2 linked regions of the Drosophila melanogaster genome follow. The protein of the gene in region 1 purifies or fractionates together with the protein of each later gene. This does not show direct contact. Each region holds a gene or a part of one and is shown in the gene's direction. Other genes may lie near its edges. The genes, in order: Mef2 and twi.

Region 1 (5,030 bases):
TCCTTTTGTCTGTGTTTTAACTATCACTCCAGTTATTAAATCGCAACTTACAGTAAACAAGAAAATCTTTTAATATATTTTCTTATTGATTTAAATGCCATATGGTAATGGCTAATCACTAAAATTCTCGCTATTGGAAATATTTTTATTATGTATAAATAGACGCAAAATCATTTCCTATATGGGTTAGAACTATAGATGGCTGGAAAGTAGCCACAGCTTTTATTTGCCTCCCAGATGTGGACTAATCACATACAACGTTCCCAATTTTCCTGCTTTTATAAAAGTCGATTTTTGTAATAAACTCTATTGGGATCAAGTTGGGGTACATGTATCCCTACTTTATTATCTTTTCGCCTACATAACCTGCATAATAGAGCGTGTTTAAGGTAAATAATATCTCGCTTAACGCAACAATAGACAGGGTCTGGGTCACAGGGCTTTGGATCCCACTTGGCTGGCTGGCGGTCCGATTCACAAATTAAGCCCCAACTTCAGCCATACAACTACTTTACCTCTGTCTGAATAGGCAATCATCAATCGAGCAGAAACAATGAATCGTTGGTTGCCGCACACCCTAGGATCCTACGGGTCCTACTCTTTGTCCCTTCCGATTCCTTCCTGTTTGTTTTGTGTACCCGCCAGCAGACGAATTACAGGATATGTTGTATGTTGTATCGCACAAAATTAGGTAACAAATGAAAAAAGGATTTACGCTTTATTTTTTCTGAATCAAGTTCAACATTCTAGTTTACGTTCACATCGGAGCTAAGAAGCTAAACAGCTGTCACAATTCCAAAGTTAATATAACCTATTAAAAATGAAATTAATTTTAATGATAGTTATATCATACTTCGCGTTTCTAAAAGGCGTAACCACAGCCAGTAAGTATGCCCCATCTTTTGTAACAGGGTATCGAGTATATACTTACCTTTTTTTCTACTGCCAAACGCAGGTCAACAAAGTTTTTATTAAGCTGCGTCGAAGGGGAAAACTAATGGTGGGTGGGTGTTTATAGAGAGGATCCAGTGGCAAGGACAAATAAATAAAATACACACAAAAAAAAAACCAGATAGTGGGCAAAGCGGGAGGGGAGAGGTCCTGGCAGGGCAGGGAGATACGGATACAAAGGAAAACGGAAACCAAAGCGATGTTTAGCAGGGGTGTAGTTAATGGGGGTGGTGAAGTGGGGGATAATTAACATTTATGGGAGGTTGCCAGAGCGGGACAACAAGCTCGGCGAGGGAACTAACTGTAACTGTTGCTGATTGATCAAGTGTGTGGGTGAGTGTGCGTGTGTGTGTGTCTGGCTGGGGCACAAACAAAAACCATATGTTTCTCGTTCGACTCCCGCACGCACTCACTCACAAACCGAATTACTCACTCACCCCCACCAGCCCCACACTCTAACCCCCCGCCACCTCTCGCTCACTCTTGCTTTCGTTGTGAGTAGGAACTCAAAGTCAGCGGCTGCGCACTCTCTCCGTCTCTCCCGCTCTCCGATTGCCCGGCAATGTATGTGTGCGATATTCTGTTACACAAAAAGGCAAAAACAAAAGGCACCGTTAGAAGGTGTGCGCGTGTGAGTGAGTTCACCACGAAACGAAAATCCTCACCGCCAGCCTACGTATACGTGTTCGTTGCTGGCTGTGCGTGTGTGTGTTAGTGTGCGACTGCGAGAGAGCCTGGCGCAGTGCAGCTGTGTGCGGGCGTATCTGTGTGTGCGTACTTGGCGTTACGACGTCAACGACGGCATATCCGTCAGTACGTTTGTACGCGTCCGCAGCGCCGCTTCTTCAGTTTTTCGGTTTTCGGGATTTCGAGATTTTGAGATTTCGATTCGATTCGATTTCGGCAGATCAGTTTGCGATCCGTTTGCGAGTTCGATATTTTCATTCCGAGCCAACGATCCAACGATCCGATTCCGCTAGCGATTCACAACAGATAGAGATCCTATATCGAACGCCGCGAGAAATTATGCTGGCCCGCTGCTCTCGCACTACGCGCAATAATTTATTTTTACTCCATATAAACAAATTCAACGTCTATTTCCAAAAATAAATGGCAACAATAATAAAAATAACAACAGCCGTCGGACAATTATAAGTTTTTATTTTTAACTTTTATTTGCGCCAACCGCGGCCGCGACATCCCCGCCCCCGCCTGCCCGGACTTTGTTTATATTTACAAAAAGCTAAAGCACACGACAAACACAACAGCAAACATATCACTGACTGCATTTCGCCCCGATGTTTATCGAACGAGCGGCGTAAACAAAGCCAGAATTCAAACAATAATTCAATTTGCATCTCAATTGCAAAGATTTTCGTGTGTGTGCTCGGAAACATTTGTGCAAACACCTCGCCAGCGACCTGACATCCCCAGAAAAGTTCAAAACTCGTCGGTTTCTATTGAGTAGTGTATTTTTGAGAACATTTTTTCGAGAAAACGGAAGCTCAGCTAAAAAGCGATTCATGTAAGTTTATCTACTGCAATGAGGAATGTTTTTGGTTTGAAAACTAGTTTTTAAAACCAAAGTACCTTTGCGAAATGGGTAGAAAGATTTTCATTCTTGTATTAAGAATAATTTTTCCTGTTTGTGATAACCATTTGACTTATATTTATGAGCGTCATAAAATCCAATTGAATGCCTCATTACATTATAAGTGATTTTCGGTTAGTCATACTTTTGAGACACATTGTTAAATTAATTATAAATTATGAATTATAAAACCTAATTTTGGTTATCATATCCACCTTTGCTCATTGAGCTATTATTCCGCCCAAAGGCTTAGTAATTATTTACAGATCATCGATGGGCTGTAAACCCCTCCTTTCATATGCCGATAGGGCAATTTGATTATATATAATTTACAATTACAAAAACACTGGCAGCCGGCATGTCGGGAACCAAATAAGCAAGTTACCCATGCACACTGACGTCATCGCTGAGCCAAACGTTGGGATTCCGAAGAAAAAAAAAAGAGATATCGGCCGGGTTTTCGAATTGTGCCTCGCTGTCTTGATTCCAGTTCAAACAGTTCCCTTTCAATTGATATCATTCGATGTTTCAATTTCTTTTCTTGCGATTTAATGCTGAGAGTAGCTGCCATACACTCGGACGGGCGAACACGCACACACAAATACTATATACGTTCCACTGATAAGCGATTTTCGTATCAATATTGAGGGCCCGCGAGAACCGTACTCCTCCGGCGAAGTTCAAATCCATTTCCCTGCTATCAAGTTCTTTTGCATGTAGTTTTTATGGCCGACCGACCGACCAACCGACTAACTGACTGATTGACTGGCTGGCTGGCTGGCTGGCTGATTGGCGAATTTGCTGATAATTGTCTGCACTTTGTTTCAGCCAGCAGCAAATGCACAGAGAATTATATTTTCTCTTATCTCGCCTCAGGCAGCTGGACATGCGTGCAATGCACTTTGACACCTACGCAGGATCATAAGGGGGGTCGCGTGGGAAGGGAGTAGGGGAATTTCGTTTCGATCCAGGGAGCAGTGGGTTCAAATAACAAACAAAGCCATTCGAAGGCGATAATCACCGCAGATTTGCCGTGGACTTAGCCACGGCGATCGCCGATAAACGATTACGGTCATTCGGCATTGCAGAGCCTAGATAACGGGACCCCACCTCCGATCACGTTCACGTTCGGACCATCATCACGACCATCATTAACCTCCGAGATCTTTAACACTATTTGGTGTAGTCACGTTTGGGTCGCGTTTGTATTTTAAGTGTTCCATCAATAGAGAAATTATAATATTATTTATTTATTTTCTTTTTTGTATTTTAAGTGTTCCATCAATAGAGAAATTATAATATTATTTATTTATTTTCTTTATTATTTCATTATTATTTATCTCATTCTATAACAATTTAGTTATTTCCAATACCTAAAGCTTCATAAGTTAAGCGAAAAAATAAATGTTTTAACTGTTTTTTTTTTTTGGATGCCTTTCAATTAGTTTTGAAATTCAAAAATGACACACGATTCTGAAAAACTGCAAGTAAAATAAAGAATACAATCCATGAAGGAAAACCCACAAACGACATCTTATCAGGTCAAAATAATTTGTTGGCAAATTTTCAACGAAAAATAGTTGAGTTACGTTTGTTGTTGGCGTTTTCGGTGCTTGATAAAAAATTCGAAATCAAAATTTGTTTTATTTGCTCGTGTTTTTTTTTTTTTGCGGCCACTATCTGCCATCGAGAGCGAGAGTCTTTCTTATCACACGTGCGCATGTGAAGGTGCCCACGCTCACTGACAAGCCAAATGAAGCACAATCTGGTCGATGTGTTGGTGTAGTTATTAAAAAAATAAATGTTCCTTTGCCATTTGCCGTGTTTGCGGCTCTCGAGTGTCTGTGATAATTATGGTTATTGCCGCCGCGCTCCCCCACATATATTGTATATAAAAATAAAAATAATAATAATTATTATTATTATAACGATTTCTTTCTGTTTGCGCCTGTGTTTTGGTTTAGCTCCCTCCCCCACACTCCGCCCGCTTTTGCGGCTGTGTAGGTGCTGGCGATAAGATAGAAGTGCTCTAGGTGTACTTCTAGGTGACTCGGGGCCCGAGAACTCAAATTTGTTCGACTACCTTAACATGAGACGCGTGTTTCGGGGCGAAAAACAAAAACCTTGGATTCTTTTGCTTTTGCTGGCATTTCTGCAATCGAAATTGTTGATAAACGCGGTGCAGGAAGAGAGCCAGATATCGCGGAGCCAATGCGATTGCTTGCAAAAATATTGGAAATCGAAGTTTGCCGATATTTCACTTGCTTCAAACAGGCACATTTTATCTCAAAAGCATTTATCATTTGCCTTTAGCATTTACCACGAGCGTCGTATTCACAAAGTGTGTGTAAGTTGTGGATAATATTTTATAATATATAAATAATATACTAAAAATAGATGTAAATGTTAATAAGATATGAGGTAGTTTGAATTGAAATGTAGATTTTATGACAAGTTCATTTTAGTTTCTCAACTCGTCAGTTTTTAA
Region 2 (4,964 bases), about 13 Mb from region 1:
ATAGAATGCCCACGAGTTGTCCATCTATCACCAAGGGAGCTCCCGTATCGTAGGAGCATCCTCCGGCGCCATTATGAGTGCAGAGGGTAAGGTACGAGATGCCATTGTCCCAGAGTCCGAACCAAACACCGCGATCCGCGGCGCACTGCTCCCGATTGTAGACGCTGACCCATGCCATCTGCAGATAGTCCGGCAGACTGCCGAAGCACCTGTCCCACCAGCTGCCCCACCAACTGGTGGATCCCCAGCCGGAGACAGTGCACCACGAACCATCGTCCGGTTCATCCTCTGCTATGCTGATGGGCTGAATAGCTTCGGAGGTCTTGAGCGGATCGCACAACTTCAACAGTGCCAGATTGTTATCGAAACGCCAGCAATTGTACTGCGGGTGATTAATTATTTCACAGACTTCGAGCAGGAATCCAGTTCCATCATAATCGCGGGAACTGGTGCCCACGCGTACTTCAATTGAACCGTAGGACTGGACACACGAAGCTGCTGTGATGATGGTGTCTGATGTGATGATCGCCCCACTGCATATTGCTGTGCCATCTATTATTACTTCCGCCTGGTACGGGGCATCTTCAATATCCACATCATAACCTCCAATGATGCGGCTTTGGGCATCCAGATCACCACGAACCGGCCGTAAAAGAGCAGCCAACAGAAATAAGAACACACTCCAAATCATTATAAACAACTGATTTTTAGAGCTGCATGTGCGACTCTTTTTATAGGAAAAGTTAAGTCGTTTTCAAGGCTAGAGCTCCTTATCTGCAAAGTCATACCTCAAATTGAGTGATGGCTTTACTTCGAAGCTCTATCAAAATAGGAAGTATTGCGTATTACTTGCACTAATCTGCACATAGTCATAGCTCGAAGGCAAAGTATTTTTTAACAATTAATTGGGAGAACGCTTAAGTTTACTTTGTATGATTATGCAGCCAGTCCTTGTACTTTATAAGATTGATATAGACTTCTGGATACTCCGAACAGCCGCCTTTCGTTATAATGCCGACCAGTTTGCCATTGTGGACCACAGGTGATCCCATCGCTAAAGAGCAGGCTTCCTTAGCGAACTTCTCGGTGCAGAACAAGTCATCTGTAAAATTCTTTTTGGACCAATTGTTTCGCGCCCACAGATCTGTGCACTGGCTAGGGCCAAGTAGCTTCACCTCGGCCTTCTGCAGCTTGTAGGCTTCATCATCCAGACACTTCTTCCAATACATTGCCCACCACCTGAAGGAGGGCCACCCGTTGGCCGTGACCTTTGCCCCATTAGACGGAAGCTGGTTGGCCAACTGAATTGGCTGGATCGTTTTGGAGGCCTCGAGCGGTTCGCACAACTTTAATATGGCCACATTGTGAAATACTGTCTGGCCGGTGAACTTTTCGTGAACTGTAATGTTGCAGACTGCTACTTCGATGACTCCATCGCTGCGCGTAGTGCTACCCACTCGTACACGGATCACCTTGTTCAGGAATCCATCCACACATTTCCCGGCTGTCACAATGTGACTCAGTTTGTATATCGCTCCGTCGCACTTGGCCTTTTGTTTGATCGAAATGGAAGCAATCCATGGCGCTGTGGTTATGTTCACGGGATGACCACCAAGAGTCGTCCGGTTGCAGTCGTTTTCGTCGTCCTCTTCCGAATCTTCACCTGCACCCGTGTCACTTTTGGAAAGGACAAAGAGTGCAAGGAAAATTGGTAGAGATCGCAGAAGCATGATGCCAAATAAATGTGCATATAGCAGGCTGTTTAAATTTTATAGTATTGGCACAAAGCATAGCAAATTAATTTGTTTTACTTTACGGTGTGTTAAAATTTTTCTCACTTTAAGCCATTGTGCAATGTTCTTTATTCTGTGCTTTACAAATTCAAATATAGATCTACAGAAGGCAAGGTAATATTATCATTAAACTATTCACAGCAAGTAAGATATTAATCCTTCGTATTCGAGTCCAGCCAGTTCGTGTGCCCCAGGATATTTGCATAGACATCGGGCTTAATGGAGCAGCCCGCTCTGGAGAGGATGCCCACGAGCTTGTTGTCGATGACCAGAGGCGAACCCCTGTCTGTGGAGCAGGCTCCCTTGCCCGGCGACTTGGTGCAGATGGTCAGGTCTGAGATTCCCTTGAGTAAGTAAAATGGTATGACTTTCCAGTCGGCGGCGCACTGTTTTTGGCTAAGGATCCGCACTTGAGTGCCGTGCAATTGGACAGGCAGCTGGAAGCACTTCTCTTCTATTCCGCTGCTAATCCTCTAAGTCTAAGATAAGGTCAAGGAAATTGCCTGATCTGCCACCACAGCCAGTCACATTGGCTCGAGAATTATCATCCGGCACTTTGTCGGCCCTCTCAATTGGCTTTATTTCATCGGTGGTGTTGAGTAGCTCGCAGGTTTTCAAGAGAGCCAAGTTATTGTCAAAGCGCCAGCTGGAGTACTGGCTATGAACTTTGACCTTACAGATTCCAGCAATTGATCCACTAGTGCCGCAGCTGCTGGTTCCCAACCTGACTTGTATGCTCCTGGCGCTGTAGCCATCCACACACTTGGCGGCAGTCAGGATGTAGTTCTTCGAGATAATGGCACCACCGCACTTGAGCTTCGAATTGACTATGATGGAGGCATACCACGGTGCATCCTTAATGTTGACAGTGTTTCCGTTTATGATCCGCTGATCTCCGAGAGCCAACCAAGGCAGAGCCACAATCTGCAGGAGGATTAGTGGGGCTAACATTCTCTTTAACTGACTTTCGTGAAGGGCGTGCTCCTCTTTTTATGGGATTCTTTGTTAATTAAACGGAATAGCTTTGGAATACTCTTCTTATCTACCTTTCGAAGAATCTATTTTGTAATGTAAGAAGAATATGTATTACAATGTATTACAATCCATATTGGCATTTGAAACATTTTGAATGATAAATACGCCCTGTGCGCAATCGATTGAATATAAAACCGAACTATTATACGTTCAATTGCCAATTGGGGTAATCCACATATATGCCCAAATTATAAAGTATAATTTAAGCAGCCGCATCGATTCTTTTCGCTTAGAGCGGCTTTGTACCCGTCCTCCGATTTGAGACAAAACTCACCAGCCATTACACTAAGCCGCTTAAATATTTGAATAATTCCTGCAGAGTAAAAAAAACGTGGGTGACTGAAATATAGCTGGACATTTCCATCAAGCGATATTTGCATGTATTTATGCAATTTTACATGAATGCAGATTTAAATCTGGGCAATGTTTAGCAAAATGTCGAAATAAATACTTTCATGGAGGAAAGTGGCAGGAGAGAGCTGGCGAGGGGCAAGGGGCATGGGGCATGGGGCAAGTAAACAAACATTTTGATGATTCGCCATGTCAAGTGGGTCGGTTTCGCAGCCAGGCAGGCGGATTAAAATGGATTACAACTGAATTATTTGATAATGTCCCAGCAGATGCAACACATCGCATTGCTTTCGCCCCGAATCGCATTTAATTTTTATCAATGTGAAAATCATTTTTGGTTGCTGGGTTTTTTATTACCATTTTATTGGGTTTTTTCGGCGGGCTGAATCGTGTTTTCAATTTGCCCCTGGATCTACGTTTTCTTTTGTCAAATATTGTTTGGGTGTGCTTTTTTTAGCTCTATTTAATTGATTTTATTTACGCAAAATCAGGAAAGCTTGCTCGCTTTATACGAGGCTTTAATTAATTTAGTTAATGGGATATATTCGCGTACTATTCATGATCTTTTGTTAAACTGTTATGCTTGAAAAAAAAGGATTAATTATGTTAAAAGCAAGTGCCTTTCTCACCATTTTATAATATTCAACAGATTTGCTAAGCAAGGCCACTTTTCAAATGACCTCAATTGGTTTTTTTTGCTGGCCTAATGAATATTTCAGTTTTGGCAACATCGCTAACGCCATAGACGTCCATCGATGGCCATTTCCAGCTCGATCCAGCTGCTCCTCCATCTCAATCAGCCTTTGGCTCATACATAACCCAGTAAATCCTTTTCCAGCTCGATGGCATCGTTGCCAATTTTCACACCAGCGACAATTACTCAAACCGTTGGCAACAACAAAAACATGGGTTACCACTGTCCTCGTCCTCGCTCCCTTTTCCCTGACCCGCTTTTCCCGGACTTTTCCCGCCCGCCCCCGCAGTCACAGCTCGCCACTCGGAATCGAGGGAGCCGGCAAAACAATCGTTGACAAAAATATTTGCATGCACTCTGGGTGCACTTGTCCGAATCGCCGTGCTGGGGATGCAGCTGCTCCTCAGCGCTGCTGTGCCGCGTGTGTTGCCATCGGCGGCGGCGCATTAAATATGCAACACCTATGACAGCAAGCCGCTTGACATTTGGATCCGAAGGCACGGGACTGGAGACCCATTCCAGTTTTAAGCTGGAACTAAAGTTTTGCCGACAATTTGCAGCTAAATTTGTCAAAAAACCAGAAACTTGGCCGGCTGAGAAATTATGACTTCCGCAATTGTTGGGTGGAACAAAGGGAATCCAGCGCAGTGCCAAAGTGTGACCGACCCGAAACAGTTCAAAAGGCAACTGTTGCTCTTGAACCTTTGGAAAATCCACCGCTTCAAATGCCGTTACACCCCCCGCCCCCCACACACGGCAAAGTTTTCAAATAGAAAATGTTTAATTTCCCCAAAGACAACGTCGATGCTGCTGCTGCTTTCCCGAAAACGCAGCGTTTTCCCACCCAGGCCAAGGAAACTTTCTTACATATTTTACAATAGATCTTCGTGTGTGTGAGTAAGAGTGTGTATGGGTGTGTGTGTGTGGGTGGGTGCAACAGTGCAGCCGAAAAAGTTTCTCCTTTCCCGGGCGGAAAGTTAGCTAAGACAAACGCCCCGAAAATACCCACATCGCTCAGTTGCCAGCGCCCATCGCTGAGCTTCCGGGTCGAACTTGTTAGTTTGCCATATAGCGTCGAAAATTATATTATT

What was found.
Region 2: the proteins of Mef2 (region 1) and twi purify together in Drosophila melanogaster (affinity purification with western blotting, with the first as the bait; one study listed by BioGRID). This does not show direct contact.

The regions. Positions count from the first base shown.
Region 1 is NT_033778.4:9,926,346-9,931,375, reverse strand, and holds the start of Mef2 (myocyte enhancer factor 2), read left to right. Parts: upstream 1-1,760; 5' UTR 1,761-2,476; intron 2,477-4,506; 5' UTR 4,507-4,889; intron 4,890-5,030. UniProt on the Drosophila melanogaster protein: Transcription factor that could be a key player in early mesoderm differentiation and may be required for subsequent cell fate specifications within the somatic and visceral/heart mesodermal layers.
Region 2 is NT_033778.4:22,983,585-22,988,548, forward strand, and holds the start of twi (twist), read left to right. Parts: upstream 1-1,789; 5' UTR 1,790-1,907; exon of another isoform or gene 1,908-1,945; coding exon of another isoform or gene 1,946-2,744; exon of another isoform or gene 2,745-2,965; intron 2,966-4,964. Other genes in the region: CG32834 (uncharacterized protein), read right to left, coding at 1-691; CG32833 (uncharacterized protein), read right to left, coding at 924-1,730. UniProt on the Drosophila melanogaster protein: Involved in the establishment and dorsoventral patterning of germ layers in the embryo.